Caenorhabditis elegans: one gene and its partners. The protein of the gene in region 1 purifies or fractionates together with the protein of each later gene. This does not show direct contact. Each region holds a gene or a part of one and is shown on either strand. Other genes may lie near its edges. The genes, in order: rsr-2, siah-1, rbr-2 and prp-8.

The links.
Region 2: the proteins of rsr-2 (region 1) and siah-1 purify together in Caenorhabditis elegans (affinity purification with mass spectrometry, with the first as the bait; one large-scale study listed by BioGRID). This does not show direct contact.
Region 3: the proteins of rsr-2 (region 1) and rbr-2 purify together in Caenorhabditis elegans (affinity purification with mass spectrometry, with the first as the bait; one large-scale study listed by BioGRID). This does not show direct contact.
Region 4: the proteins of rsr-2 (region 1) and prp-8 purify together in Caenorhabditis elegans (affinity purification with mass spectrometry, with the first as the bait; one large-scale study listed by BioGRID). This does not show direct contact.

What each region holds. Positions count from the first base shown.
Region 1 is NC_003280.10:12,222,834-12,229,476, forward strand, and holds rsr-2 (SRRM2 protein homolog rsr-2), read left to right. Parts: upstream 1-2,522; 5' UTR 2,523-2,524; coding exon 2,525-2,614; intron 2,615-2,762; coding exon 2,763-3,743; intron 3,744-4,183; coding exon 4,184-4,390; 3' UTR 4,391-5,375; downstream 5,376-6,643. Other genes in the region: sinh-1 (Stress-activated map kinase-interacting protein 1 homolog), read left to right, coding at 5,486-5,689. UniProt on the Caenorhabditis elegans protein: Plays a role in pre-mRNA splicing as component of the spliceosome. Involved in modulating global transcription, probably acting via interaction with RNA polymerase II.
Region 2 is NC_003282.8:3,741,985-3,749,013, reverse strand, and holds siah-1 (E3 ubiquitin-protein ligase siah-1), read right to left. Parts: upstream 4,967-7,029; 5' UTR 4,878-4,966; coding exon 4,691-4,877; intron 3,896-4,690; coding exon 3,734-3,895; intron 3,681-3,733; coding exon 3,447-3,680; intron 3,191-3,446; coding exon 2,615-3,190; intron 2,047-2,614; coding exon 1,992-2,046; intron 1,847-1,991; coding exon 1,801-1,846; 3' UTR 1,663-1,800; downstream 1-1,662. Other genes in the region: ugt-45 (glucuronosyltransferase), read left to right, coding at 221-723.
Region 3 is NC_003282.8:10,916,591-10,926,076, reverse strand, and holds the start of rbr-2 (Lysine-specific demethylase rbr-2), read right to left. Parts: upstream 6,008-9,486; 5' UTR 5,971-6,007; coding exon 5,827-5,970; intron 5,784-5,826; coding exon of another isoform or gene 5,777-5,783; coding exon 5,645-5,776; intron 5,386-5,644; coding exon 4,949-5,385; intron 4,721-4,948; coding exon 4,533-4,720; intron 4,484-4,532; coding exon 2,473-4,483; intron 2,310-2,472; coding exon 2,122-2,309; intron 2,076-2,121; coding exon 1,780-2,075; intron 1,349-1,779; coding exon 693-1,348; intron 648-692; coding exon 349-647; intron 1-348. Other genes in the region: ZK593.3 (High-affinity choline transporter 1-like), read right to left, coding at 8,512-8,792, 9,300-9,462. UniProt on the Caenorhabditis elegans protein: Histone demethylase that specifically demethylates 'Lys-4' of histone H3, thereby playing a central role in histone code. Does not demethylate histone H3 'Lys-9', H3 'Lys-27', H3 'Lys-36', H3 'Lys-79' or H4 'Lys-20'.
Region 4 is NC_003281.10:8,162,818-8,169,052, reverse strand, and holds the start of prp-8 (Pre-mRNA-splicing factor 8 homolog), read right to left. Parts: upstream 4,681-6,235; 5' UTR 4,677-4,680; coding exon 3,847-4,676; intron 3,793-3,846; coding exon 3,555-3,792; intron 3,514-3,554; exon of another isoform or gene 3,381-3,513; intron 3,355-3,380; coding exon 3,135-3,354; intron 3,063-3,134; coding exon 2,318-3,062; intron 2,270-2,317; coding exon 853-2,269; intron 840-852; exon of another isoform or gene 670-839; intron 622-669; coding exon 1-621. Other genes in the region: bath-42 (BTB and MATH domain-containing protein 42), read left to right, coding at 5,727-5,787, 5,842-6,110, 6,161-6,235. UniProt on the Caenorhabditis elegans protein: Functions as a scaffold that mediates the ordered assembly of spliceosomal proteins and snRNAs. Required for the assembly of the U4/U6-U5 tri-snRNP complex.

The DNA of each region.
Region 1 (6,643 bases):
ACATTGACGCGGGGAAGAGGAGAAGCGAGGGATGGAGAGACACGATGAAGAAGAAGAAGACACGTCGGAAATCGATCAAGTAGCCGCCAGCAGCAGTAGCTGCAGAAGTAGTAGTAGTAGTTGCATCATCGAGGGTCCTGTGAATCGTACGATCATGTGGAGAAACTTAATTTTTCGACATTTTTGAAAAAAAAACTTAAGATTTTTTAACAAAAAAAAAATTTTTTTTTTTTGAGGGAAAATCTTAAGATTTGAAGTCGAAAAACGAATAATTTCGATTTTTCGAATTATAAAAAATCGAAAATTTTCGATAAAAAACTAAAAATGCTCAGAAAATTAACCAAAATATGATTTTTTTTATATAGTTTTTATTTTCCAAAAATCGAAAAACCGACACCATTTCTCGGCATCTAACAAAATTCCCAAAAAAAATTGGAAAAAGGCGACCGTGCCTCCCTACATCCTGTATTTTAAGGATTTAGGAACAACAAAACCGAAATATGCACCTGGTATCAGAGTGTCTCATTTCGGTTTGATCTACGTAGATCTACAAAAAATGCGGGAGAAAAGCCGCAGAGTTCGCAATTTTTTGTAGATCAAACCGTGATGGGACAACCTGCCACCACTTGAATATGATTTAAAGCGAGAACAACGGAAAAATGGACACTGCCGTAGTATTAAAATTGAATCTTCCAAGGAATCTTGCATTTTCCTAATGAGGAAATTCAAATCATGTACTCTTTTCCAGAATTTCCTGCCGTTCTCAGAAAAATATAATCAATGATTCGACTATTTCTGGCCGTGACATAGGAAAACCTCCGGGCGTAATTTTCATATAAATATGCCGTATTGTGACCGTAGAAAATCCCCGAGAATTGGAAAAACTGGGATATTTTGTTGAAAAAATGCGACACTTTTGCACAAAAATTCCAAAAAATGAGAATTTCTCATTTCCCCCCTCAAGTTCTCGCTCATTTGAACGAAGTAAGGCGAAAAACCTGTGTAGGTGACAGCGGCGGGCGGATCAAAAACCCCAATTTCGCGAATTGGATTGATTCTCGAATGGTTGTTATAAAAGGAGTCGTCGTCGTCGTGGAAAGAATGGATCGGCTGACTGTCTGAGACTGGCCACAAGATGGGGAAAAAAGTAGTGGCAAGGACGAAGGAACGGATAGAGATGGCGGAAAACGATTACGGTATCTTCTTCTCATTTTTCTTCAGCGACAAACACACCAAGGAATTTCGTTTTGGTACTGGAAATAGTACTCAAAAAACCAAAAAATCGAGTTCAACGAGAACCTATAATCCTTCAGTGCGTTGGTCTTTGTTGACCGTTTACACCCATATAGATTCCGAGAACATACGTCATACAATACGTTGCATAAGGATTTTCCAGTGAAATCCTAAGAAATTGGCTCTGGGAGTGGAAAAACTGTGAAGAAATAGGCATTTAGAATATAGATTCGCAAGAAATTCGATAAAAATCTCCATAGAAACGTCCAGAAGACCGATTTCAAAGAAATCATGGTTTTCTTCAAGCATCAGTATTTAAAAATATTGATGGGGAGAATTGAACTTTGAACAATTATTTTAGCAGAAAAACGGCGGGCTCTGCAATTGCGACAAATTTTAGGTGACATGATGGAAAAGCTTCACATTTCGTGCATTATAAGAAAATTGATCGGTTTCGGAACAACTCCGGCAACTTTATTGAGTAGTTTTGGAGCCAATTCGTGTCTAATAGCACATTGGGTAGAAATTTCTCCAAGAAAAACGAACAAACCGTAAGAAATTTACCAGATGTTCAGATATATTCTACAGACCTGCTACTAGAAAAAACAGCGAAACAGTGATGGAATCCAGCAAATATCAGAGGAAACAAGAATGAAGCAAAACAATAATGGAAAAGCGCGGGTGGATGCGAAAACACGTTTCCCACCAACGAAATATCGATTTTTCGCGGAGATTTCGAAACAATAGATGATAATTCTGCAATAAAAGCACATCGTGAAGCTGAAAATAAAGAAGAATGATTAAAAACAAGAGTCCATAAGCCGATCAATATTTGACGGGCGCGACACTTGGCTAAAAATCGATTTTTGGAGGTTTCAAGTGGGTCAAAATGATTTTTCTGATTACTCACGTGTTTCCGGGTATTTTTGTTGTATATTTGTGTAGAAAATTTACAAAAATTACAGTAAAATTGGCGAAAAATCGCTGAAAATCGAGGAAAAAGGCTCTTTGCTCGCTGCCGTCTCCGCACTGCTAAATCGGTTTTCGTGGTGAGACCTACGCGAGTGGCGACGCCATGCGCCTTTAAACACGATTTATTTTCGAATTGTTTTTCTACATCGTTTTCTCTTAATTTCAGCTGGGAAAATTGTTTTTAATCGATTTTTAATTGAAATTTTTGCATAAAATCCTTGAAATTTAATTTTTGTATGGGAAAATTTGCTTAAAATTGCCTAAAATCACCGAAAACGCCGTCTCTTTTCATATTTTTAATTATTTTCCAATTTCAGCCATGTACAATGGAATCGGACTTCAAACCGCCCGTGGATCGGGAACCAATGGATATGTGCAGTCGAATTTGTCGCATCTTATGCAAGCGAGAGTGAGTATTCCGGGGAAAATACTGATTTTTGCTGGAGATTTTCAGCGAAAAATCGAAATAAAAAACAAATTTAAAGCAAATTACTTGCTTTTCTCTATGCTAAACGCACTAAAAATCGTAAAATGATGCTAATTAATCATATTTTCAGCGAAAAATCGAGTACAACGGCGAAGATGACCTGCGCAAAATGGAAGCCGAGCTCAATCGAAAGCCCAACGAGGAAATCATGGATCACAACAGAAAACGTCAAATCGAGGTGAAATGCACCGAATTTGAGATGCTCCTAGAGGACAAGGGCCTCGACGACGAGGATATCGAGCGAAAAGTCGGCGAATATCGTAAAAATCTGCTGAAACAGCTCGAATCCGGCGAGCTTAACGTCGACGAGGAGCTGAGCACCAAGGAATCACACGCCAGACGTCGCGCCGCCGCGAATAATCGGGATAAAATGCGAAATGCGTTGGGATTGGGCGAGGATTACGTGCCGGGAAGCTCGATGGCCAAGATGAACAAGTCGGATGTGGTTGGAGCTGCGATGGAGTCGGAACTTCCACAAAAAGATGATAAGGAGAAGCTTCTCGAGACACTTCGTCTGCATAGAAAATCGAAGAAGAAGCAGGAATCCAGCAGTAGTAGTAGCAGTAGCAGTAGCTCATCAGAATCCTCCAGTGAAGACGAGAAGCATCGTAAGGATCGTAAGAAGAAGGAGAAGAAGCAGAAGCTGAAGGAGATGGAGAAACGTCGGGAGAAGCTTCGGCAGAAGGAACGGGAGCTTTTGGCGGTGTCGGATAAGGTGAAGAAAGAAGAACCAGCAGAGTCCAGTGATGAGGAAGACAGCCGGAAAGATCAGAGGAAGCCTCGGGAAGATCGCAGAAGATCGGTGGAGCGACAGGATCAACGGGAAGATCGTAGAGATCGCAGAAGATCCCCCGAGGATCCTCGAGAGCGTCGGAGATCCCCTGAAGATCGTACAGTTCGCAGAAGATCGCCGGAACGTCGCCGCCAGCAGCGATCCCCAAGTGTCGAGCGTCGGAAGTCACCACAACGCCGGGATGAGCGACGTCGGCGACACGATTCGTCGGAAAATGAGAGAAGATCCACTGCCACCGCGTCGAAAAAATCGAGAATGGTATGGAAATTCGAGATTTTTTGGCGAAAAATTGCGGAAAACTCGAGTTTTAATCGGGAAAATGCGAAAATTTTGAAATTTTGCATGAGAATAACGAAAATAACGGGGAAATTTTAATTTTTTCCTGAAAAATTACCAAAAAATGCAATTTTTTTTCAAAAAAACCGTAAAAATTTGGAGTTTTTGCCGGTCAAAACTGAGAAAATTTTTTAAAAATTTCTCGAAAAACTTTTAAAAAAAGTCAATTTTGAAGTTTTCACAGGAAAAACGAGAAAATTAAAATATTTTTACAATAAAAATACTGAAAAATTCAATTTTTCAGGAAAAAAAAAACTTATTTCAGCGGGTAAATCTGCAAAAATTAGGTTTTTTTCGTTGAAAAATGTGAAAATTTTAATATTTTTTTCGCCAAAAAATCCTAAAATTTATTCATTTTTCAGGACGAACTCGAAGTGAAACAAGAGCCACCAAGTGATTCTGAAGATTATATCGCAAAAACCAATTTGGCACCGATTCGTGTTGAAAAATCCGCCGAAAAAGTGGAAAAATCTCGAAAATCATCGTCAGAAAGCTCTTCGGGCTCCTCGGATTCTGACTCGTCGTCCGATTCATCGTCATCGTCGGATTCTTCTTCGGATTCGGAATAATTTTTTCTTGTGTTTTATTTATTTTTTTTTAATTTAAAAATCATTTAAATTTATGTTTTGAGCCGAAAAAATGGCTGGAAAATCTGGATTTAAAGGTTTTTTTTGGATTTTTTTTGTGTGAAAATCAAGAAAAAGTTGAAAATTTTCATTGATTTTTGCCTAAAAAACCACATTTTCTGGGTTTTCAAGTCAAATTTTATTAATTTTTTCGGAAAAAAAGTTGGAAATTAGTAAATTTTACATCAAATTTAATGTATTTTTCTCGGAAATTTTTGAGTTTTCTCAATTTTCAGTCAAATTTTCTGATAAAGCTAGATTTTCAGCTAATTTTTCTGGAAAGTCCTTCATTCTCAGTCAAATTTAAATAATTTTTCCGAAAAAAAGTTGGAAATTGGCAAATTTTGTGTCCATTTTATTGATTTTTCTCTGAAAATCCGGAAACATTTTTTTTTCATTCAAATTTTATCGATTTTTTCTTTAAAAAATCGGGATTTTAGGATAATTTTTCTAAAAATCCCTCGATTTTCAGTCAAATTTTAATAATTTTTCCGGAAAAAAAGTTGGAAATTAGCGAATTTTACGCCAAATTTAATGTATTTTCTCTAAAAATCCGGAAAAATAATTAAATTTCGTTCAAATTTAATCAATTTTTTTTTCTGAAAAATCACTATTTTCTGCTAATTTTTTTTTAGAAATTCTTTTCGATTTTCAGCCTAATTTTTCCGAAAAAAGCTCGAATTTCCCGAATTTTTAGTTTATTTTCAGACAAATTTGTTTGGAAATTCCAGACTTTCAGCCAGTTTTTTTTTCTGGAAATTTCCCGATTTTCCCGTCAAATTTAATCAATTTTTTCTGAAAAATCTAGATTTTCTGCTACTATTTTCCCCGTTCATTCCCGATCTTTTGTGCTCCAAAGAGCAAATTTCTTTATTTCTTTTTGCTACTTGTTTTCCCCCAAACGCTGTACATGAAGAATCTCCTGAAAACTGGGATTTTTCGTCTTTTTTTCTGTCTGAAGACAGTTGGAAATATCATGATTTCCCCCCCCCCCCCCTCCATCTCCGATGCTCAAAATTTTCAGACATTTCCAGTGAAATGGGCCACGTGGACCGCGAGGATCTTCTCAACGTAATTCGACATGAGCTTCGGCTCGAGGACGATGATGGTCCGGGACTTTGCTCTCGGCTTCTCCTGAATCCAGACAGGAAATGTCGTGCCGGAGGTCTTCCGCTGGATTTTAGACTGAAAAATGGGGATTTGATGGATGATGGGGATGCGGGATTTGATGATATTTATGAGGTTCGGCGGGGATTTTGGAAAAAATGTTTTCCGGAATTAAAAAAAAAAGCACTTTCAGCTTTTTCTGCCAAATATTTTATATATTTTTTGTTTAAAAAAAATATTTTTTCACTGAAAACGGTAAAAAAAATTAAAATAAATAAATTTTAAATTTTAAAAAAGCTTAAATTGAAAAATATTACAGTAAAAATTCAGAATTTTCAAAAAAAAACTATTTTTTTCCGGAATTTTCTGTTAAAAATTGCAGATTTTCAGCACTTTCTGCCAAAAATTTTCACGATTTTAAATTTTTTTCTCTCCAGAAAAGTGTTTTTTCCAATAAAATCGGTGAAATTTTATAAAAATTTCAGAAAAAAATTAAAAAAAAAACAATTTTTTTCCGGAATTTTTTTTTCTTTTTTTTTCATATTTTCAGCGCTCTTTGCCAAAAATCACAATTTTTATAATTTTTTCCAATAAAAAAGGTAAAAATTGTTGTAAAATTGCAGAAAAAAATAATTTAAAAAACTAATTTTTTTCCGGAATTAAAAAAAAATATTTCCAACATTTTCTGCCGAAAATTTCCAAAATTTTTATTTTTTTTTCGCTAAAAAATAGTTTTTTTCCAATAAAATCGGTAAAAAAATTCAAAAATTTTTTTTTTCGAAATTAAAAAAATATTTTATCAAAAAATGTTTCCCCGAATTAAAAAAAAACAAGTTTAAATTGCAAAATTATAAAACTTTCAAATTTCGCTCGAAATTTTGAAAAATTAAAAAAATTGGGTCCCACCACGAAAATCTCCGGGTTACTGTAGGCTTTCGTGGTGGGACCCAAAAAAAGTACAAAATAAGCTGAGCATAGGCAATATGGGGCTTATTTGAAAGCTCTCGGCAAGCCCAATACAGTGATAATAGTTAAAATAGTTTAATAAAAAAAAAATTTTTAATTCGAAAATTTTTTTTTCTCAATTCA
Region 2 (7,029 bases), on another chromosome or scaffold:
ATTTTCATGCTCTTTAACGTGTTAATGCTGATCATTTTGTTAGTTATCAAATTTCTGCCAAACTTTCTTCTAGTGTTTGAGTTACAAGGGTTTTTCGTTTTTAAGTTTTAGCAGGAACTTCTAAAAACGGAAAGCTCTTTGCAACCTTTCAATGTCGGCTGCTTCTATAATATAATTTAAATAACATTAAATCTTTTGTTCCTTATTTCCTTATTTTCAGCCGACAAACGAATCTCAATGTTCTGGACACATGGTGGAATGGGAAGCTTAATGGAAAGTGCTCAAAAGTCTGTTCCGCTCGTCGTAGTCCCGATTTTCGGTGACCAAATGCGCAATGCACAGATCGCGAAGAGACACGGCGTGGCACTGATCTACGATAAAATGGACTTGAGCAACACGAAAAAGCTCATTGGAGCATTGAAAGAAGTGCTCGAGAATCCGGAATACAAAAAATCGGCGGAACTTCTCGCGCGGATCCTTGCCACTGAGAGGTTCTCCCCGCGGCAAAAGATCATTGATACGGTGGAGATGGCTGGAAGGTTCGGGCAAATGCCCAGGTGGACGTCTGCTGGAAAAGAATTCTCGTTTTTGAAATATTTCAATTTGGATCTAGTGATCATTGCAGTTTTTATATTTTTTCTGTCAATTGTCTCGACGGTACTGTTGATTAGACACCTGCTCGCGAAACTTGGTTTCTCTGGAGATAAGGAGAAATCTGAGTAGAATTCGCTGGGAGAGATGGGATGTTGTATAAATTTCGTGCATTTTTTTGGTTTGAAATTTGAAATAAAACTTTATGGAATTATGAAAACCTGGTTTTTGTAAAGCAGAAAATTCTGAAATAAAAGAAATGTTTGACTAAAAAATAATTCTTTTTTTTTCTGATTTAGTTCCGAGTTTTCTAAAATTCTATTGATAGAAATGTGAAATGTTTCTTTTTTGTCTTTTCTTCAAATTTTCAGACTAAATTTTAACGCAATTTCTGTATTTCGACAGTTAAATTTTGCAAAATTTCGGAATTTTGAAATTAATTTCCAAATTGTAAATTTTAGAGATTTTTTTTGGTATTTTAATTGTTCATTTTAATTAATTTTAATGTTTTTGAAATAAAATCAAAATTATAAAAATTATTTAAAATTTTATTTGCACTCTGTTATAAATTTTGAAAATACTCAAATTGTGAAAAATTGTTATGATGCAAATTTTCCAAATAAAAAAAACTGAGAATGAATTAAATTTCTTTAATTTTGAAAAAAAAAATGTTTTTTCTCCAAAATTTCAATTAACCATCAAAAAAAGTTCAAAAAAATTTATTCAACATGATTAAAGTATAAAATCGTAAAAATTGGAAAGAAAAATGTGGCTATTACGCAAGTGGTTCAAGAGACAAAAAAAAAGTACAAAATATCGATAAAACAACACAGGAAAGCTCGTAAAATGTGTAAATCGAGTGTAAAATACAAAAAAAAAGAAATTTATAAACCAAAAAAAATTGAAAAAAAATCCGTAGTGTTCTGTGGTTATCCATTCCGAGTCATGGAAGGATATGCTATACAGATAATTAATATTTTGAGGCGGGGGCGGGGGGGGGGGGGGGGTATTCTACATTATAAAAAAAAATTAGAACAAAATATAGTTTTTTTTTCAGAAAAAAAATCCAAAAAAAAAATTTTTTTAATTTTTAAATTTTTTAAAATGTTCTGATTGTAAGGGGATTTTCAACTGAATTTTTTAAGCTTTTCATCACATTTTTGAAGAAAAAAATCAAAAATAATTTTATTACGTTTACACTGTGCATATCTAGTCGTACTCGAGATCAGAATTTTCCAACTCATTTGGGTGGCGCCTGAAAAAAAATCAGTTATTAGTTTTTTTTTTTTTTAATTAAATAGATTAAAATTGGCTTATTGAAAAAATGTGTTTTTTTTGTAATTTTTAAATATTTTCAAACATTTAAACTTGAATTTAAAGTTTTTAAATACAATTCTCACCTCTGTGGAGTATCTATTCGGCTAATAGTGACGTTGATTCCAAGGTTTCCGTTTTCTGAAAAAAAAAGTTGATTTTTGTTGAGGGTAACTTTTAAAGTTTATATTCCGGAACTGACAAAAATTTTGCTACTAAAGGTCGATGCACCATATCTCGCCCAACTTTAAAAACTTTTCAAAAAAACCTCTGCGGATTTCGGTTTTTATTTTTATTTTTTAATAGACACTTTGTTAATATCTTCAAAAATTGACCGAGTTTATCAATCTTAGAAATTTTTGGTCGATGCACCATGTTCAAAGGAAACTTAATTTTTTTGGATTTCTGGTTCTATCGAAAAAGTTCCAACTCACAAAATATTTGTTCTCGTGTTTTATATAGTTTAGCGGTTACATTTTTGTTAGCATTCACACACTTAACCGGGGTATCGGCTGTTAAAACTATTTCGGTCGATGCACCATGATGCACTCAACTATTCCAGCTGTATCCCTTGTCTAACAAAGTTACCAAAAAAATTGTCAACTCACAAAAAAAGCTGTTTTTGCTCAGTTTTAACAAAAATTGAAAGCTCAGTTTTAACAAAAATTGGTAATTTCCGATTAAGATAAAAGCAAAAGTCAATGCTCACCTGCAAAAAGCTGTGCAGCATTTGAATCGAACGCTAGGCAATCCGACTGTTGAATGGCCACTACCACCCCCTCGTGGATGCTTCTCGGTGTGGCTTCCCATGACATTCTCCGGCGGCTCGCCGATAGCTCAAGCCGGTACACAAAGTTATCAGCTTCCTTCTTCGAGCCAATCAGCTGAACGACTGCGTAGAACATCTGAGTTGGCTGAGCTGGATCGTACTTTTCCTGCTTCTCGAGCACCAACATAAAATTATAGTCAAAGCAGCTCTGCATCATAACCCAGTCAACTGCTCCAGGAAGATTGATGTCAGTGGCCAGGAAGACGATATCCTCGCCTTGAAGCGTCGTGATGCTCTTGTGGATCTTCTTCAAATGCTCCATCACATCCGACAAGCCTCCCTGCCACTTGCAGCTAGCTCCAGGGCACGGGCAGCAGTAGGGTCGGAATTCGCAGAGCTCCTCGTGCTCGGTCTTATCAGCGTGATGGAAGTTCAGGGGGCAGCCGGACGTAGAGAATTTGCATGGAAAGCGGACGGTGTTGGCGATCTTCTCGAGGCCCAGGTTGCGGACAGAAGCTGTAAGATTGAAGGTTTAGTCTTGAAATTTGAGATATACTCTGAAACTTTGAAGATCCGTAGATCCTTGATTCGTTAGCTACATTAGAGAAACAACACAGCTAAAATGCTTAGGCGCTCGACTGAGACAGATCGATCAACCAGAAAGGATCTTAGTCTTCTATCATATCAGCTCTGCTCAAGCTGTGGTAATTTTTTCAGCTTTGACTAAACTCTTCTAGTCACGCAATTTTCAAATTTCAACTTCAAAACTCACGAGTTGGACCCCGACAAGTCGGGCAGCACTGAAGCTTTGGTCTGCAGTTCGAGCAGACAAGATGTCCGGATGAGCACTGCATGTATGGTGGCAGCATGTACTCCAGGCATACCGGGCACTCAAACACCGACAAGATCTCTGCACTGCTGTCGTCGGTGGCTCCACCGCCGCCGATTGGAATATGTGGTGCGACGCTTTGGATTCCTTGCGCGGTCGTCGTTGTGTTGTGCGGTACTGGAAAATTTTACATTTTAGCGTTACAGTTCTGAAAATCAAGAAAAACTCACTACTTCCCGGGGGATTACTCTGAACTCTGGCCATCGTTTTGCCAAGCACTGCGGTTCCAGAGATTGTTGACACTGCAGACGGTGGCGATGCCGACATCCGAGGTGTCAATCCGATTTGACATTGCTGTTGTGTGATGCCTGGCGGGACCGGTGGAGGGTTGCCTGGAAAGTAAAATTTAATGGTGCTAGTTCTGGGCTCCAAGATATAGTTTCACACTTACTTCGCTCATTGAGCCAATTTTCAATACACTCAATAATAAGCGCATTCACTACGCAGCAGCAAGAACGCATGTGGGGGAAAATGCGATCATCATGAAGCGAGCGAGCTCTCCGAGAGAGTTTTCAGCAGGTATATAAAAACTAGGGAGGGGCTCCGAAACACCGCTTTACGATGCATATGTCGATTATAACACAGAGATAGAATAGCGAGTTTTCTCTCGGGGGTGGGAGTAAAGAGGAAATGTTGAGTGACTTTAATTGGTGTCGTTTTGGATGTGGGGGGGGGGACTAATGACTGGTGAGCACGCATGGTTGGAGAAAGCAGGGGATTTGGGCTCCGGCTTAAAGGTTTGGCTGGCTGAAGGTAGTGGTGTGTCGGAAAAATCACGTGGTGTCAGAAAAAACCCCTGCCATCACGGTTTGATCTACAAAAAACGCGGACTTTTTTTGCGTAAAACTTTCTTAAGCCAAATAAAATGAGAACTATGCGTCTCAACTCGTGCATTTTTTGTAGATCTACGTAGATCAAACCGAAATAGGACATTCTGGCACCAAGTGAAATGCTGAAACAGTGATCTTTTAATCATGTCTCAATTAATAATACTCAATAGAAATTCAAAAGCCGACTCTCTTGATTCCGTTGGACAATTAAGTCCTTTCTTTAATTTTGGGCCGTTTCTAAGTTTCGGGGATGAGCAGGCTTTCAAACAAGACTCAAAGTTTTCAAAAAAGTCTCACCATTTGAGTGATTAACCATATCTTCGACTAAAGAATTGCTAGTCTGATGTCTGGATAGATGATTCGCTTGCGGAGCCGAATCGCTACTATTATTATCGTCCTCCTCAAAGATGAGCTGTGTACGACGAAGAGACTCGATCACGTCCTGATAGTCTCCTCCTCCTCCACCACCGTTCCGATTACTCATCAGCGAAGGCAGTCGAGATGACGAGGACGACGATGTTGGAGGTGGTGGGTGGTTCGGTGTCTGCGGATGCCGCCGTCTTCCCGTCGTCTCTGTAATTGGTGAGTTGGTGATAACGAATTGTGAGTGTTTTGTTGTTGTCACGTGAGAAATAGTCGCTGGAGGTCAAATTGTGAGGAATTACGAAGAGAGTAAAGTTTTTAGAATAGGTTTGTTGAATCAGGAGTGGCACGGGGTCTCACATGGTCCCATTACGATTTGATCTACAAAAAATGCGGGAATTTTTCGCCCAAAAAATGTGACGTCAGCACATTGTTAACCATTTGAAATCAGTTGGGAACTCTTCGTCTCAACTCCCGCATAGTTTGTAGATCTACGTAGATCAAACCGCAATGAGCCACTTTGACACCACGTGGCAATTTTTTTCCGGCAAATTGCCGATTTGCCGTTTGCCGGAAATTTTTAGAGGGATTTTTTAATAAGACGGAAGCACTTGAAACAGTGTCATTTTGAAAGTTTTTTTTTCCCGTTTTCTTTAGATACATTCATTGAACTTGCTTACTTTTCAAAATAGATGTAGGAACATTCATAGGATGCGTACAATTTTGCCAATTTAAATTAAATTTCTAAAATTTCCAGAAAAAAATGTGGAAAACCACAATTTGCAGAAAAATGTTTGTGAAAATTTTTTGCCGGTTTGCAGTTTTGTCGGAAATGTTCATTTTCGGTAAATTACCGGGAAAGTTGTGCAAAAAAAACAACTGAGGCTCAAATTTTTTAATTAAAGATTTACTAGGAAATTTTGAAAATTTTATATTAAAATTTGAAAATAATCGCCTAAAATCAATGCAATCAAGAACAAAAGATGAGAGATGGGCTAGGAAAATCAATAAGATAAGTAAGGGATAAGGTCCGATTTTCATGAACTTGAATACCTAGTATAGATACTAGATTCAGTAAAACGTGATTGCAAACTATTTGAATAAGTGACTTTCTAAAAATGGAAATTTGAAACATTCAAAAAAAAATGTAATACATTCACAAAAATCACTGAAAAGTTAAATTATGGTTATCTTAAACGAAATAGTGATGAAATCCATGAAGAAAGTGGTAATTTTTTCGGGAAGTATCAATTTTAAGGTTCTATTGTCCACACAGACACTTTATAAATCAAGTCGCAAGCAGAGAACAACAACAAAATCTGGCAAAAGAAAACAACTTTACTATTCGCTTTTTTTTAGCTTTCTCTAAATAATATTTTCAAAACCTAACAAAAGGATTAAAACCCTCAAATTCGACGATTACTTTGCATAAATACACAATAGAAATACGAATAAGAGAGTGAATAAAACGAAGAAAAGAGGCGAAAGGAAGAAAAATATGAAATAAAACGCGTTCTGTGTGCGTACTCTCTCTCTCTCTTTCTCTCTTTCACATCTTTTCACCAACGAATGACTGACCGGGATAGTGTGGGTGGTGGAAGAGACGACAGAGAGACCGACGACGAGATGTGTGGGCTTGTAAGAGAGTCTCTGTGTTTCTCTACCAGCTGACATGCGAATGAGAATGAATCAAATCGATTTTTGAAGAGAGAGAGAGAGAGAGAGAGAGAGACGGTTGGAGGGAAGGGATGGTGAGAGCGATTTTATATGAAAGGCGTATCAGGCACCAATAACCTTTTTAAAGTAAAATTTCAAAAATTGATGGTCATGCACTGTTGGTCATATGGAAAGATCAGCTGTTAGGGTGACTGGTACCCGGGTCAGGTGCTTGTGCTCTCGGTGGTCGATGAGAGGCAGCATAGGGAATGTAGCAATAATAATAAAAAAATAAAGTGACGTTTTATTGAAATTCATATAAGGAAATGTAAGGAAATTATCTGAAGGAAATAATCTCAATAAGGCACACGATTATTTGTTGCTACAACTAGCATTTCAGTAGCATTGGAGATAGCTTTGCAAGCTTTAGGTATATTGTGTTGGTATCAGGCTGTCCCATATCGGTTTGATCTACAAAAAAATGCGGAAATTTTTAGCCAAGAAATATGTGACGTCAGCAGGCTCTTCACCATGCAAAATCAGTTTGGAAGTCTTCGTCTAAATTCCTGCAATTCTCATAGATCAAACCGATATGGGACACTCTGGCACCGCGTGGG
Region 3 (9,486 bases), on another chromosome or scaffold:
CAAAATTGAACAAATATGGTAGCCGGTCTCGACACGGCAATTTTTTTTACTTGCAAAAAAGTTGTGTGCCTTTAAAGAGTAAATAAAAACGCGGAAGTTTTTAAAATTTTTTAAAGTTTTACGACAATGAAATCCCACAGAAACGAGAGTTGGTAACTACAGTATACTTTTTGAAGGCGCACACCCGTTTGTGTTTCACAAAAATTGTCGTGTCGAGACCGGGTACCGTATTTTTGGCACAAAGTTTTTTTTTGAGATCAGGTCTGTCACAAAACAAAGGTTCGTTTTTTTTTCTCCTTACAATTAAATTTTTTTTCCAAAAAACCACAAAACCCGATCTTAATTTACCTCTCAGAGTGAATCCAAGACAAATCACATGGAACCAGTTTTTGCAGCCTGCTTCACACATCACCCAGTTCACTGAGTCTCCATATGGCTTCAAACAGGCGCGAGCTTGACACGACTTGAATTCAGACTCGTCTTCGTAATATTCACTGGGTGATGCTTGACTTTGACGTTTGCGTGATTTTTTCGACGTCTCTTTGTGTGAAACACTTGGCCTTTTGCGTTTAGCTGTGATTTTTGGATCGAAGAGTGATACCGATGGTTTTGAACGAACCGGGCGATTTTTGAGTTCTAGTGCGGCGCTGAAAAAATTAAAAATAAAATTAATACATATAATGTGTACAAACCTTGACTGTTTTTGAAGATATTCCATATAAAATTCTGAAATCAGCTCGCGTGCCTTCGGAAGACCATTGGGATTCAGAATTTCACACGATAGCCAATCGAATAAGGCAATTTTACAAATATCGTCGCTGGATTCTCCTGATTTCCGTTTATTAGCAGCTTCCATCAAATTTTGAGTGATTCCACGAGTTTTTTGTATTAGATTTCGAACAAGATGTGTTTCCAAACATCCAGAAGGTGTTCCATTCAGAGCAGTTGTTACATCATCAATGACTGGACGTTGTCCCCGTAGACATCGAACACATAAAAAGCATCCTTCTGGAAGTTTTTCAAGGAACGGTGACCACTCGCAACATCGAACATGAAACTCTGAATCGCACATTATGCATGTCAGTGTTGATTCGGAATCATCTGATTTGTTGAATCCAAGACATGAGCATGCTTCAAGACCACGAGCTGAATTTGCTTGTTTCACCTTTTCAAAAATTCTCATTTGCATTTCACGTAGCGATGATTGATGATGCACAATTTGATCTAATGACTCGAATTCTTTCATTTGATGCCATTCATCAGATGGATGTACTGCGCCTCCTTGAAAATATAATGGTATCGTTTGTCCTTCAGCAAGTGGAGTTAAATCATCGCGTTCGGAGAGAATCTGGAAAATTCAAGTTTAAGGCAAATTAGATCGAAGCTAATGTCTATGCTACTTCCTGATTGGATTAATGTTACCCAAATATACGGTCACCGGTCTCGACACGAAATTTTTTCGTTTAATTTAAAAAGGTGCGCGCCTTTAAAGATACTGTAATTTCAAATTTTTGGTTCTGCGAAATTTTCCTTGATTTTTCTTTTTTTTTCTTAGTATTTGTCTCATGTTTTTAATTATTTCAACATAGTTTTTTATTAAATAAATAAATTTATAACGAAAACTATGAAAAATCTATGAAAATTCCGCAGTAACGAAATTATGAAGCTACAGTAATCTTTAAAGGCGCACATTCGTTTGTATTTAACTAAAATTGTCGTGTCGAGACCGGGTACCGTATTTTTTGCGAAAAATCGTCAAATTTCACGAATCTCACTCACTTCAAAAAGATTGTGATACGCATTATTTGGCTTGAACAGAATAGCTATCCTCTGAGTAAATGCATTCATTGTGCTGATCATATCCAAAATCCCGAGATGCTCTTCGGAACCGTTTAGACATTTTGAAGTTTCGAATGCTTTACTGATTTCGGCCGCCTTCGATAGTGTAATTTCAACATTGACAATTTTCTGCAGTTGTGTTTTTAAATCAAATTCTGATAGCACGGGAATTGCGGCATCTATCATTGACTTGATTTTGGCAACATGAATGATCTCATAGCGAACCATGTTAATATCTTAAAAATTATTTTGTAAGAATTACTAATGCATTAAATAACAAACATTTTTCATAGAACCAATCAGTTTCTCTAAGGCTTTGCCAAATTGATTGAAGCTGATCAAGTGCTGGATTCTCACAGAAATTGTTTGCAATGACCTCGAGTGTATTGGCGTCACGGAGCATTTGTTGAAGTTCAAAGACGAGTTTAGAAGTACCATCTGTGGGATTTCGTGGACTATCACGAATCAATCTGAAACATATAATTGAATTTTTGAATTAAAGGGGTATAGAGTATTTGGAAATATTTTTAAGGTCTCATCATGAAATTCGGTCGTTTTGGGCCGAGCCCATTCGAGGAAAAATCCACAAACACAAATTTCCTTTTAAGAGAAAAAATATTTTTAAAATCTTACGATAAAATATCACTGGATGCATATCGAAGCTTATACTCAAAATCAATATCTTTCTCCATATCGGGAGTTGCCTTCCATGTAGTAACTTTTCTTGCTCTATCCGACCAATCCTTCATTTGAATAACTTTTCGCAACTCATCGATTTCTTCCAATTTAATATCATATTCATCTCCCTCTTCAATAATCTTCTCGATTTCTTCTTTTGAGTATTCTTGTTCTCGATAGATAGCATCTTTTGCTCTGTTTCTCCACATTTCAACTTGTTCCATCCATTTCTCAAGTTTATCAATAATAACAGTCAAATTGCAATCCATGGCTTGCATTTGTTCAATCAATGACCGTACTCCCTCGGTGTCTGTACGAGTGTCGGCTCTCTGACATCGGGTTTTTGTTCGCGTTCGTACTTTCTTAAAGAGCAATTGATTTGCTTTTTCAATGGCACTCTTGGCTGTATGACGAATTGTTATCAATTTATGAACTTGATCTGTCTGTGGATACTTGTTTTGTTTGGCAGAATCTATAAACTCTTCAATTCTCTCGAGTTTTGGTTTTCCTTCTTCTTCAAGCATCTCATCCGACTCTTCTTTCCATCCATTGTAGTTAACCGTACGCTTTCCAAGTTCATCACACATATTGTTCAATTGATCCAACTCGAATCTGTACTGATATCTGTAGTCTTTCGTTGTACACGAATTGCAAAGATGATCATGATGTTCAACACAAGTCATTTTCTTGTGTTTGTTACAAACCAATGCACACATGAAGAGAGTCGTCTTACAAAAACGACACGATCTTTGTTCATCTGGAATCTTTTCGAACATCACTTGCTGCATTTGGCGATTGGAAACTCCGAGGCGAGCGAGAAGTTCTCTCAACATTTTTTGTTTTTCATATATTCTTATCAGTTCTTCATGTGTTGCTAAACTCATCGAAATTCCAAGTTTATCCATTGCTTCAACCATTTTAAAGAGAAGCTCATCATGAGAAAATACAAGATATCTTCGTACATTTGAGTAAGACTCAACGCATTCTCGACCTTTTGATAGCCAATCAATTGGAGCGAAATTGACAGCTTCCGCAAAGTTGAGTCCCTCATTGAAACCAGCATGATAAGCACGTGGGAATGTAATGACGAATTCACCAGCATTCTGGTGAACTGAATGAATTGGAACTCCCAATGAACGAAGAAGATGAGGATTTGCAGCTGTAGTCATATGATGGAATAGATCTCTTTGTCTTCCAGTTAATCCAGGTGCTATTTTCTTCAATGCATCTTCAAACTTTTCAGCATCTTCTCCACCAACACCGTACCAAATTTTCCGTTCTCCAAAATGATTATAGTTAACAGAATACGTCCAATGATCTTCGGTGTGCCAGCAGAACGTCGAGAAGCACATACCAACATAGACCCACGGTACCATCATTCCAGAAATTCCAGTATTAAAATGTGAGAGAACAGATTCTCGAAGTACAGGCATATTGTTCAGATTCCATGCATGTGAAGCGTATTGCTGCTTCAGCTTCAGATCTGGGCCAGTGTGCTTATCTTCTTTTCGAGGAAATCCACTTCCTACTCGACTCGTAATCAAGTCGGCACCGTATTTGACAGAAACTGGATTTTCGTGTGAAATTACATTCTTCCAGAATGATCGTTCCACAGCATCACACGACACTTGTGATACATCTTTTACACCGAAATAATCACATTTCCATTTGTTGGCAAATTCAGTGAATGAGTTCAGATTGTATTCTGTGTCCGCATCATAAAATCCCCAGTCTAATCCGATTTTTGCATCCTCTGATTCAATGCACTTTGGACATCTCCACTCGCCTTCTGGTACTTCATCGAGTACTGGATCACAACAATATGTATGACGACCATTATTGCATCCATCAATATCGCAAAGAAGTAGTAGATCTTCATCCTTTCCTTCATTACAAGCAACGCAGAATACTTGATCCATTGGATCTTCATCATCATCATCGTCTCCTTCGGCTTTCTTCTTATTTTCTGTAATTTGTGAAAATAAATTTAAAAAATTTAAATTTAAAAAACGAACTTCTTCCTCTGGTTGAATTCTTCTTTGAAGATGTTCCAAGAGTCTTTCTTGAAGATGAAGCCTTCTTATTTTTAGATCTCCGTCGACCACTTTGCATCGACACTGGACACTCATCTTCCCCTCCTTCAGTAGTTTTATCATTTGGAACTTCTATTTCTGTCCGCATAGTTCCGTGGTGATGTTGATATCTATGAAATTCATTCGTTTTTAATTAGAATAATGGGGGAAATTATTAATAACAAAATTAAAAATTTTACTATTTATCGGTTTTAACATTTTTTCATGGTTCTAAAAAACAAAAACATGGGTACATAAGAAAAATTTAAAATGCATATAATTTCAAAAAAATCCATCTACATTATGTTTTCTTAACTGATTTGTAGATTTTTATTTATTTAAATTTCTTAATTACTCACTTATGCTTTAATTCTTCCATTTCATCATCACTTTCATCATCATTTTTCATCGCTTTTTCTTTCAAATTTCGATTAAATGGTTCAATGTGCAAATTATAATGTGATCGAATCAAATTTATGAAAGCCGACGGAACACCGCGAGCCATTTGCTCCTTTGGAAGGTATTCGCGGGCAACGTCTCTCCATTTTTCATCTTCATTCACTTCTTCACATCCTCCAAAGTTTTGAACTATACGATGTAATCGATACAAATCGACAATATTTCCATCTCGATCCACTGGAAACTCAAAAGTTAGACCAGAATATCGATTGAAATTGATTAATCGGTCAATAAATGTGTGTTTCTCTTTGACAATTGCCTCCACTTCATTCAGTTTTTGAGTTCGGGGACGAAATGTAAAGGCTTCTTTGTCGATAGCAAACGGTGGTTTGAAATTCTGCAAAAAAAGAGAGTTGATGCTTCTCGATTCGTTTTTTGAGGGAAAAATCAAAAATTTTCAGATAAAATTGCACTTTTCAAGTGGTGACCATTCTTTTAGTAAACTGAAAATTTTCTAATATTTAGTATTTAATTGAAGGGAGTAGTAGAAGTTTTTAAACTACTACAAACATTGTTTCGCTTTTTTTCAGACTTTTCAAAAACGATTAAAAACTTGTTAAACGTCAGACGTACAATTTTCCGAATAAATAACTTACCGCCGGCGGAACAATTTTAACAACTCCAAATTTTTCGGCCTCGTGTCGTATTTTGGCAACATACTCGATTGGATCTGAGAACTCTTCTTCTGTCGGGTAGTAAATTGGAGCCATTGGAGGTCGTACGAATTTCTGAAAACTATGAAAGCTTATTCACCTTATGTATGTCTTAGTAATCAAACCTTATAGAATTGATCGTACATTTCCATTTTGCTTCCATGATTCTTAGATCTTGAATTTCCGATGGATGCTTTCTTCCGCGGAGAAGTGCTCGTCGACGGTGCTGACGGCGTCGAGATACTGTTCTCTTGACGACGTGCACGCATTTTTCAGTTTGGCTTATAGCTTCATGAGATCTGTAAATTTCATTTTTGTTTGACTTTAATATTAATTGAAATTAAAAGCTTTGAGAAGAAGAACATTTTAAGTACCGACGAGAAATTTCCATGTGATGAAACAAGATGCATCACGAGTGTTATGATAGACGTCATAGAAACCCGGAAATGAAAATTAGCTTATACTCCTTTAAAATTGGCTTTTAAGCTTTTTCTTATTAAGCTTTTGATTTGAACTTAATATTGTATAAATAATTAAGCTGAAAAATGACTCATATTTAAATATATATATTTCTCCAATTTTTGAGGTCGAGCAGCTTTTCAAAGTTTAGACAAGGATCTTTGGTAGAGTTTTAAATGTAGGTCAAGACACGTAAGGCATCGTATAGTAACTCAAATCATTGAAAACTCCATCTCTCTGAATCTTTTTGATGTGTCACCTAAAATGCATTGAGAGACTGGTATTCTTTGACCACTTTGCAGTAGGTCGGTGTCCTTTTCGTCAGAAATTGCGTGCGGTAAAGATAAGCGGAGAAACAGAAAAAAATATAGATAAAATCGAAAAACCGAGAGGAAATAGCCCCCAGCGCCCACCAGGGTCGGCCCACGAAAATCGAGGAAAGTGCGCTCCGCCGAACATTACTCTCGAGTGTCCACTCTCGTCGTCTTGTCACTCCTCTGTTTGCATGCTATTCGCTAGCAATAATCTCTCGGTCTCCTGCCCAATCACACTTTATTCATGTTATGTGCGCGACGCGTTCTCGCATGTGCCTCCTAGTAATACGTGAATTTTTGCACTAACTTTTTTTTGAGGCCAGCAGCTGAGGAAAGATGGGCGCACACAAAGAAAACGAAGAGAAAGCAGGAAGACGCATGTAAAATGAACACAGACTGAGAGAAAAAGAGAACATGGAATTATGGCTCCGAGAGCCAGCATTTTTAATTGAAGATTTGAGACTGTGTTTGTTTACTACGGTTTTAAAGGGAGGCGTATCAATGCGGAATGGTCTCGCCACGCACTGCGAACTCATGAAAAAATTGGCGTGTGCGCCTTTAAGATGACTGTAGAGATTTTTCTGGCATGTCTAATTACATAAAATACAGAAAATTGGGAAAAGAACAATCGAAAATGAAGAAAAGGGAGAAACGAGAAAATTGGAGATTTGCCAGCAAACCCTCTACAGTAATCTTAAAGGCGCACATACCAGATTTCTGAAAAAAAAATCGCAGAGCGTGGCGAGACCATTCCGCATAAACTCGCCACTTTAAAATCATAGAAGTTGTAAAAAGTACACAGTAATATGTAGAAACTGATTTCGCCGAATTGTGAATCTCCATAGTTTCTAAGGAATGTGAATATTATTTTTCAAAACTAAATCAAACTCATTAAAAAGTTATTATGCGCCCGTTTTGAAATAAACGATGGTTGCGCGCGAGAGAATGAGAAGACATAGATTATAACTGCAAAAGCAGAATCAGCTGTCTGCGTGTGAAGAAGCTGATTAAAAACGAAAGGGCGAAAAAGACTTGTTTCACACGACTACACACATTCTTACGACAAATAGACGAAACGGAGGGAGAATCAGAAGTTTATGACCGAACGCTGAAGACGTGTAATCACAGACGTGGTTAGAAAGTGAGGCTGAACGCGGAACTTAAAGCGAAAATGTGTAACATATTGAACAGTGCACGATTTTCAGATGTTCAGAGCATTCGTTTGACAGTTAACAATTTTTCTAAGATAAATCGTTAATAAAATATATAACTTTTTCACACAAAGATTACTGTATTCCGAGAAGATATCAGTGTCCATCTGACTGAATTTTTCAAAAAACTTCTTCTAAATATACACTAACAGCTCTCACCGCGAACCGGAGGACCTTAAAATCGCTGCCGCTCCACCAAAAAAACATACGAATAAGCAGCATATGACTACAGTAACCCATTCCTGGACATATATAACTTTTCTTCTCCTTTTTGAAGATTTATCTCTTAGCTACTCAGACTTTCCTGAATAATTTTCAAGAATTCCCAGTCAATTTCGAGCAAAGAAAAAGATTTCGAGGGATGAATGCCGAGAAAATAAATAGAGATTATTGCAATATAACAGTAAATGAGCTACTGTAAGTTAAAATGTTGAATTTCTAGCCGAATTTTTCTGAAATGGAAATGCTATACGAGCAGGCGTTTTCGCATATTCAGAATCTAATCAGAAAGTGTTCGTGCAAAAACAAAAAGAACAGCTGTCGGGTTGCCATGGAGTTTAACCATACACACCAGAGAATGTTGGCTTCAACTCTAAAATAGACAATTATGTTTAGTTTATGAGGGTTTAATATTGATATACATATCCAATAGTAAAATATGAAAAGAGTCAATAAAATATATAGTTTTATAGTTTAGTACCTTAATTACAAGAAAAACCAGAATGTGAAAATGAGGCATAAAATACAAGTTTGAAATCTTTGATAAAATCACTCGAGTTTGAGTCAATTTGACTAAAATAAGCATTTAGAAACACGAAAAGTATTGTTAGATCATTTCTTGTTCTCTGAACTTCTTCTCATCGACAAGTGGAAGAATTTGGTAGACAGCGGTTCTCTCAGTTTCTTGCTTCTTTCTATAATCGACATACTCCATTGCGTAGGCAATAATGAGCATTGAAACAATAGTGACAATAGCGACAGTTGGATATCCAGTCTCCACAGACATGTATGAAAGAGAACACATAAACATTCCAAACCAGACACGTGGATTTATGACTGCAAGTGGAGTTGAGCCAAGTTCCATGAGGAAGAATACGTTGACATCATCTGAAATTCAGTAGTTAATGCCAGATTAGGAAAATTATTTTATGTAGGCAAAACATATCTGTCTACTTGTCTGTATAGAGCAAACTTAACCGGCATATGCTACAGCGCTATAATTAAAAAAAAGGAGTTTACTCCAAAATCTCGGCATTTAGGGGCAGTTTCGTCTAAAAGTTTGGCCGAAAAAAGCAACTTGAATTCATAAATTGGCAAATCCGTCAAAGTTGAGCGAAGGGGTGCCCCACTAATAGAGAATATACGGTATGTTGGCAAAACTTTTGTTCCACCTAGTTCCACCTGACTACTGAAAATTTTTCGCCTAATATTTTTCTTTGTCGTTCCACATTTGAGTCGAAAACTCTCAGGATATACACCAAGTGCGAAAGATTTAGCAAAATTAAAATAATTTGTATAGTTCGTAATAATTTTTTGTTTTTGAATTTTAACCCTAGAATTTCCCAGAAGGAGTTGTTTTATCATTGTCCTTTGTTTCCAAATACTATAACTTACTGAATCCAACAATTCTGAAGTCTTCTGTTCCAGTATATGAGAGCAAAAGCTTGATTGATGCCATTGTGAATGCAACGATAAAACACGGCCAATTTTGATCAATAGCTGATGGAGTTTTATGTTCAGTTGGTTTTCGAGCTGTTGGGAGCATAACGGCGACCATTTTGATTAACGAATGACTGAAAAT
Region 4 (6,235 bases), on another chromosome or scaffold:
CAATTGGTCTTCATCGTGACTCATTCCGGAACGGAAGTGAGTGACACCTCCAGCTTCCGTTTGTTGCATCCATCGAAGATCAGACTGTGGGATCAAGACGTGTCCCATAGATAGCATTCCAAGTCCTCCGATTTCTTTTGGCGTATAGAAAACAACTGGAGGGAATCTTGAGGGCATTTTTGAGTTGAGTCCAATCTTGATTCTCGTTTGAATTTTATTCTCACATTTCACCAATAAATCCAAAAGTTCTTGAGTGTTCACAACAGCTTCTCTGAAGTAGGTCATCAATCCGATCAATGCTGTATTCCATTTGTTGACAATTTTGGTGAACGTTGTAGATCCAGAAGACATCAAAATTTGACGAATTCTGTTATGGAATTTGGACAATGACTCCTCATCGACCTTCAAGAAGCACTGAGCAGTTCTTTCCTTTGTCACTTCGTTTTGAAGATTCCATACACCATCACGATGAACAAACTCTTCATTAGCCGTACGACACTTTGGTAGAATACGACACTCGAATCCGGACATGTCGAACAACATGTTCGGGTTATCCTTACTGTACACTGATACGAATGAATTTTCCCACTCGACAGTTGTGATGGAACGTGGGAGACGGTTCTGTAAAATAACAAATATTTAAAAATCAAAATAGTAAATTCTACATTTTAATGTACGCCTGTCAAGTAGACCTTATCATTCAAGTTAAATGATGGATCTGTTCATGAGGCGGATAATCGCTTAATTTCCATTAGTTTTCGAGGAATTATCAACGAGCAGCCATCGAATAATTGCTCGCTTTCTTATACCTCGTGTTAAAATTTTAAAAAAATAATTAAAAATAAAATTTACCTTGATATCCCAGAAGACAGCACGACCCAAATTGACATCATGTTTCATCAATCTCATTCTAGCGTCTCTTGGCCAACACTTTTTGTTGTTATAACCGACAATATTCTCATTATTCGGATCTGGATGCTCTGTCAAGTATCTTTGAATCAAATCACGTGCTTCATCAGCACTGAAACGGAACATGATCCAAACTCGGTCGATGTACCGGCAGTAGAGACGAATAGGGTGACCAATTTCTGTGGCAACATCCTGGAATTGCAAGAACTCGTTTGGACATTGGGGCGGACCGGCAATTTCGGAAGCTCGTCGAAGTCCAAGAACAAGAAGATCAAGAACTAATCCATAGAATTGAACAATAAACGAAGCAAATTGTAGACCACGAATAATTCCGAAAGAATTGGTGTGGTTCATATCCTTATAGTTGATGAGAACGTTGTTCTTCGAAGTCATGTAATCGGCAATATTGTGATCCACAATCAATCTGAGCAATCTATTGAGAAGTGTCAAATCCATTTTTTCAGCAATTTTCTCCAATTTTGTTTCCATGATGACATTACACTCTCCTTCACTTGTCTCCCAAACATCTTGAAGATTGTTGAGACCTTGACACCATTTGTATGTAAGAAGCGGTGGTGGTTCAGTATCTCCTGGTTTCACCCATGCCGGGAACAATCTTCTCTTGTCTGCTTCATACCAGAGGTATTGATCGAGGTAAGCGTCAGTGACTTTCTCAAGAGGCTCGATATCGTAGACTGGAATAAGATGAGTGTAGAGATCCATAAACTCAATTCCGACTTCTTTGAATGCACGCTGCGTGAGCATGTGTCTCTTGATACGAGACAAAGCTTCGTGAGGATTATCATAAGCCTGTTCAATTAAAGCCAGTTCTTCTCTTTGGGATTGATTCAATCTATTCTTCACACTGTAACTTTCCTTCAGTCTTTCAAGAGCCAAAATAAGAAGTTTTGTGTCGTGTTTGTAAGAAAGTGGTGGGAAAGGAATCGGAGAAAATCTTCTTGATTCCAGCCAATGTACTGTAGTCGTGTAAATTGCAACAGCTTCTTCTGCAGAGATATATGGTCCGTCCTTCAAGTAATTGTGTTGTCTTTCTTGCTCTGATTTCAGGTATAATCTTGTCAATCTACCCAAGTTCTTCTTGCACACAGTTTTGTCTACTGTCGCTCCTCGTCTTACACGTTCTCTGTTGTAATGTGCCGAATTAGTCCACCAATCAGCCTTTGCTTTCACATAACGTAGAATCATATTTTCAACTGGAGTTGGCAGTCCGGGAACCTTCCATGGAATATTAGCCTTCCAACATCTCCACGCCTCTGACAAATGCTGAAGAATAACACGAGCCTTATTTTGTTTGATTCCGTCCGGCATCATATCCAGAATGTCATGCATGACAGCAGCACTGAAAATATTAATAAATAAATTCGTTTTCTTGCCATTTAAAGCTTACCGTAATTCAAGATCGAAATGAGATTCAACTCTTTGCTTGGTGACTGTCTTGGCCACTCCCTTTGAATGTCTTCCTTCGAATTGTCGAGACAACAGATTTCCAAGCCATCTCTCGAGCAGTGGTGTGATTCCACGCAAGAAGAACAACCAAACTCTCCATCCCGGAGCCCAAAAACCACATCCAGGTCCTTTACCAACCGGCCCAGTGTTGAAACGATAGTAGATGAGATGCTTGAGATCCTTGCACATTCTGACTTGTCTCATGAGCTTGTACTTGTAACGATACATTCCGGTCAGTTGACCGACGTGAGCAAAGATATATTGTAGACCATCTGCAAGTTGGTACGCATCGACGTTGTTCAAACGATACTGAACATGGGCATCAACAACAAGTTTTGTGAGACGAAGGATTTCTCTGCACAAATGGAATGCATTTCCGAAACGAGATTTCTTTCTTTCCTTTGTTGTCAATGTTTTAACTGGTTTCAAATTGAAGTTGTAATCAAGATGAAGATAGTTGAGATTCTTTCGGTGAATGAGCAAATTGAGCATGTTGTATCCTTGACGAAGAACTTGCAATCCAGCTTCTACCCAATCCAGGGTGGTTGTTTGGAAGAATTTTGTTGCCTTGAAGGAACGGAACAGATAACGACGCTTCTGGGGCTTCGGTGGACGATGTTTGAGAGCGTTCAGAACAAACACCTTGAGCAGTTTCTGATAAGAAACACGAACTTTCACGGGCATTCCTGAAAAATTGAATATATTATTTCAGCTTAGTATGCGAGAAACGAAACGAAAAAAATAGAAACAAAACTAACCTGCTGGACAATGTTCTCTATACCACGATTTGACAAGTGGTACATCCACTGCTCTTCTCGTTCTTCCCGATCGAAGATTGAATGGCCGAGGGGCCCATAGAAGTGCTAAACCATTAGCCGTGTTATCGGTGTAGAGTGGAACGTCTTCAAAAATGGGTCGAACATCTTCAGGCAGCTCCCACTCGTCTTCCTCTTCACCTTCTGGTAGATTTTCTTCAGTCTGAAAATGTTTTGACATACAATACGAATTGTCTCCAGTTTTATTTCTAGATATCACCGACAAAAAGGATGATTTCTCGCCTTTAATGGAAAATTTATATTGCGAATTTCGGCTACTGACTACCTTGTAAATTTATAGGAATCTGTTTATAATATCCGCATTTTATTTTAAAACATTGCTGAAACTTGTAAATAACTCACTGCTTTCAAGTTGCTGAGAACGATTGGATTGATCAATGGATCATAGTAGAATGCGGGAAGATCTGGGTCTTCAGTTTTGATAAATACAACTGAAGGAGTATGATACCATGAAACTTGAACAGGCAGCGAGCTGATCAGATTGTTGTACATGAATGGGAATGCAATTCTGTACTCGGTACGAATTGGAGCTCGAATAATAACTTTATTGATATCATTGAACTCGTTCCAGTCTTCATCACTGAAAATAATAAAATAGTATGCGTCATAACACAACTGGAAGCTTTTCACTTACGTATGTAAATCTTTTACCAATGGTTCGAACTTCGGGCCTCCTGGAATTGCAACGTTGAGTGCTTTAGCAGTGAAGAAACTTTTCATGTCAAACAAGTAGAAGTAGTTATCATCTACTAAATCGGTAAGCAGCTGATTTGCAAGACGATACAATGTGGACATCTGTGGAATACTGAATGCCCATTTTCTGTACGTTGGGCCGTTCACAAATCGAGTTGTTGCAAGAGGCTTGTGATCGTAGAACCATTCAGCAACAGCTCCGTCTTCTTCTGGATCTAGTTCCATTTGAATTGGCTCTAAAGGCTCGACATCCAGAATATTATCAGCATAATCGAGAGGCGGTTCTTCATCGTCAAATGGAGGGAATCTCATTCGCTTGAAATGACGACGATCACGTTTTTCTCTTCTCATCATAATCCACATCGTTCCCCATTGTGCCATGTAGACCGGCTCGATGACACGCGGAATGTCGTTGACAAAAGTGATCGCACCGGTGATGTGATACAGAACTTTTACATCTCTGATTTGTTCCCAGGGCATCGGCATGTTCTCCAGTAGCTTCAAAACGGCATGTGGCATATATTTCAAAGCACCGAGGTAGACTCTTTTATCATGACGATATTTGCGAGAAGTCATATCACCATGATCTCTGATAACTTTTCGGACGTGCTCAGGTGGCATTTCTTCTTTCTGCGTATCGGACATTCCAAACTTCTTTTTCTCCGAATACCGCTTTCCTTGAAGTTGTTTCCATTTTCGAGACTTTTCTTCCAGAATTGAATCCGGGATAGCATGTGGTTCAGTTTGGGGATGACCGCCGTAGTTGGCCATACCTATAACACACTATATAAAAATAGAATTAAAACTAATCAATGAGTTGACGAGCAAGGAAAAATAAGTATTACTGTAGAGAAACTGGAAAGAGAGATTTGTCTTTGTTTAGACTGTAAGATCACATGAATTGATAGTTGGAATTGTGCATTACAGTTAATAGCGCACAAAATTTACATTAAAAAACGGAATTTATTCAGACTGAACCAGAAAATCATGAATAAAAACCGATAATTTCTATTTTCGAAAGTAAAATTTAAATTTCCTTAAATCTAAACAACGCGCGCAATTGTGTCGAGTGGAGCGTCGTACTTAGATCTGCAGGTGTTTGAGGTTACGGTGCCCGGTAATTCAAACACTCTTCGGCGTAATGTTTCGATCAATAGACCCGCCTCTTCTTGGCAGCCATTATTTGCGTTCGCGTTCGCCGCCGCCGAGGAAAGACATCTGCCCGAAAAAATTTATTGATTTTTCGAAAACTTATTGGCATTTTCTATTGCCCTCAGAATCTGAGTAAAGCTTCTGAATTGCAACTTTTCCTTTTTCAAGTCATGTGACTGGGGTAATATCATTTTTTCGAAACTGTTCCGAATTTTGTACAAATATCAATTTTTCGAAAAGGAAATTATTTCCAAACTGTCATTGTTACCCATTTTATATTGAAATGTACCACATTTATTCCTCATAGACGAGTTCATGAAGATCTCCTTTTGAAAACTTTAAAAACTGTCCAACTTAAAAAAAAGGTAGTATTTTCGAATATCAAACGGCGATTTCGTAATTTTAATACTTTTCTAATATGTGTAATTTTTCGTAGATCGGTTTCGAAAATCGTATTGCTTATTTCGTAACTCTAACAAAGAACTCCTGCTTTTCGTAAATAATTCATTCGCGGAGTTTCCCAGTTGTTGTGTCTTTTTGAATTTAATCATTTTCTTTTATTTTTATCGAGATTATCGGGAATAGCTTTCTTTTAATTGAATTTATTTTCAGAATAACCTCTTGCTCGCTCAACTTATCAACAGAGGTAAAACTTATTCGCAATATAATATGTCTTCACGTTCCTCGTGGTCATCCACGGAGCAGATTAATCGCACAATCAGTTCCAGAGGTTAGTGAGAATAGCTCAATTAATTTGAGAGTTTAACATTATTTTCATTTTCAGCTGACGATCTTCCTCCACAACCTCGCCGTCTAGAAGTAGTTTCGAAGCAAGCAACGCGTGTGACGGCACTTTCTACAAAATTGGAATGGAAAATCGAACAATTTGAGAAATTGATGAAACTAATCAAAAACGGTTCGAATCTTATTTCAAGAATGTTTAGTGTCCCTGATGCGCCAACAGTTTGCTGGGAACTTCATGTGTATCCAAATGGAAAGCGTGATGAAGATGTGAATAATGTATCGTTTTTCTTGAGACAAGTTGGATTAGCCGTAAGTTTCATTCATATTTTCTATATATAAAATATAAAAACCTTTTTCAGAGAGGAGAGGAGCCCATCATGACAGAATTTCAAATTTATGCTCTCGATGCTAATAATCAAAGAGTCAGTGTATGC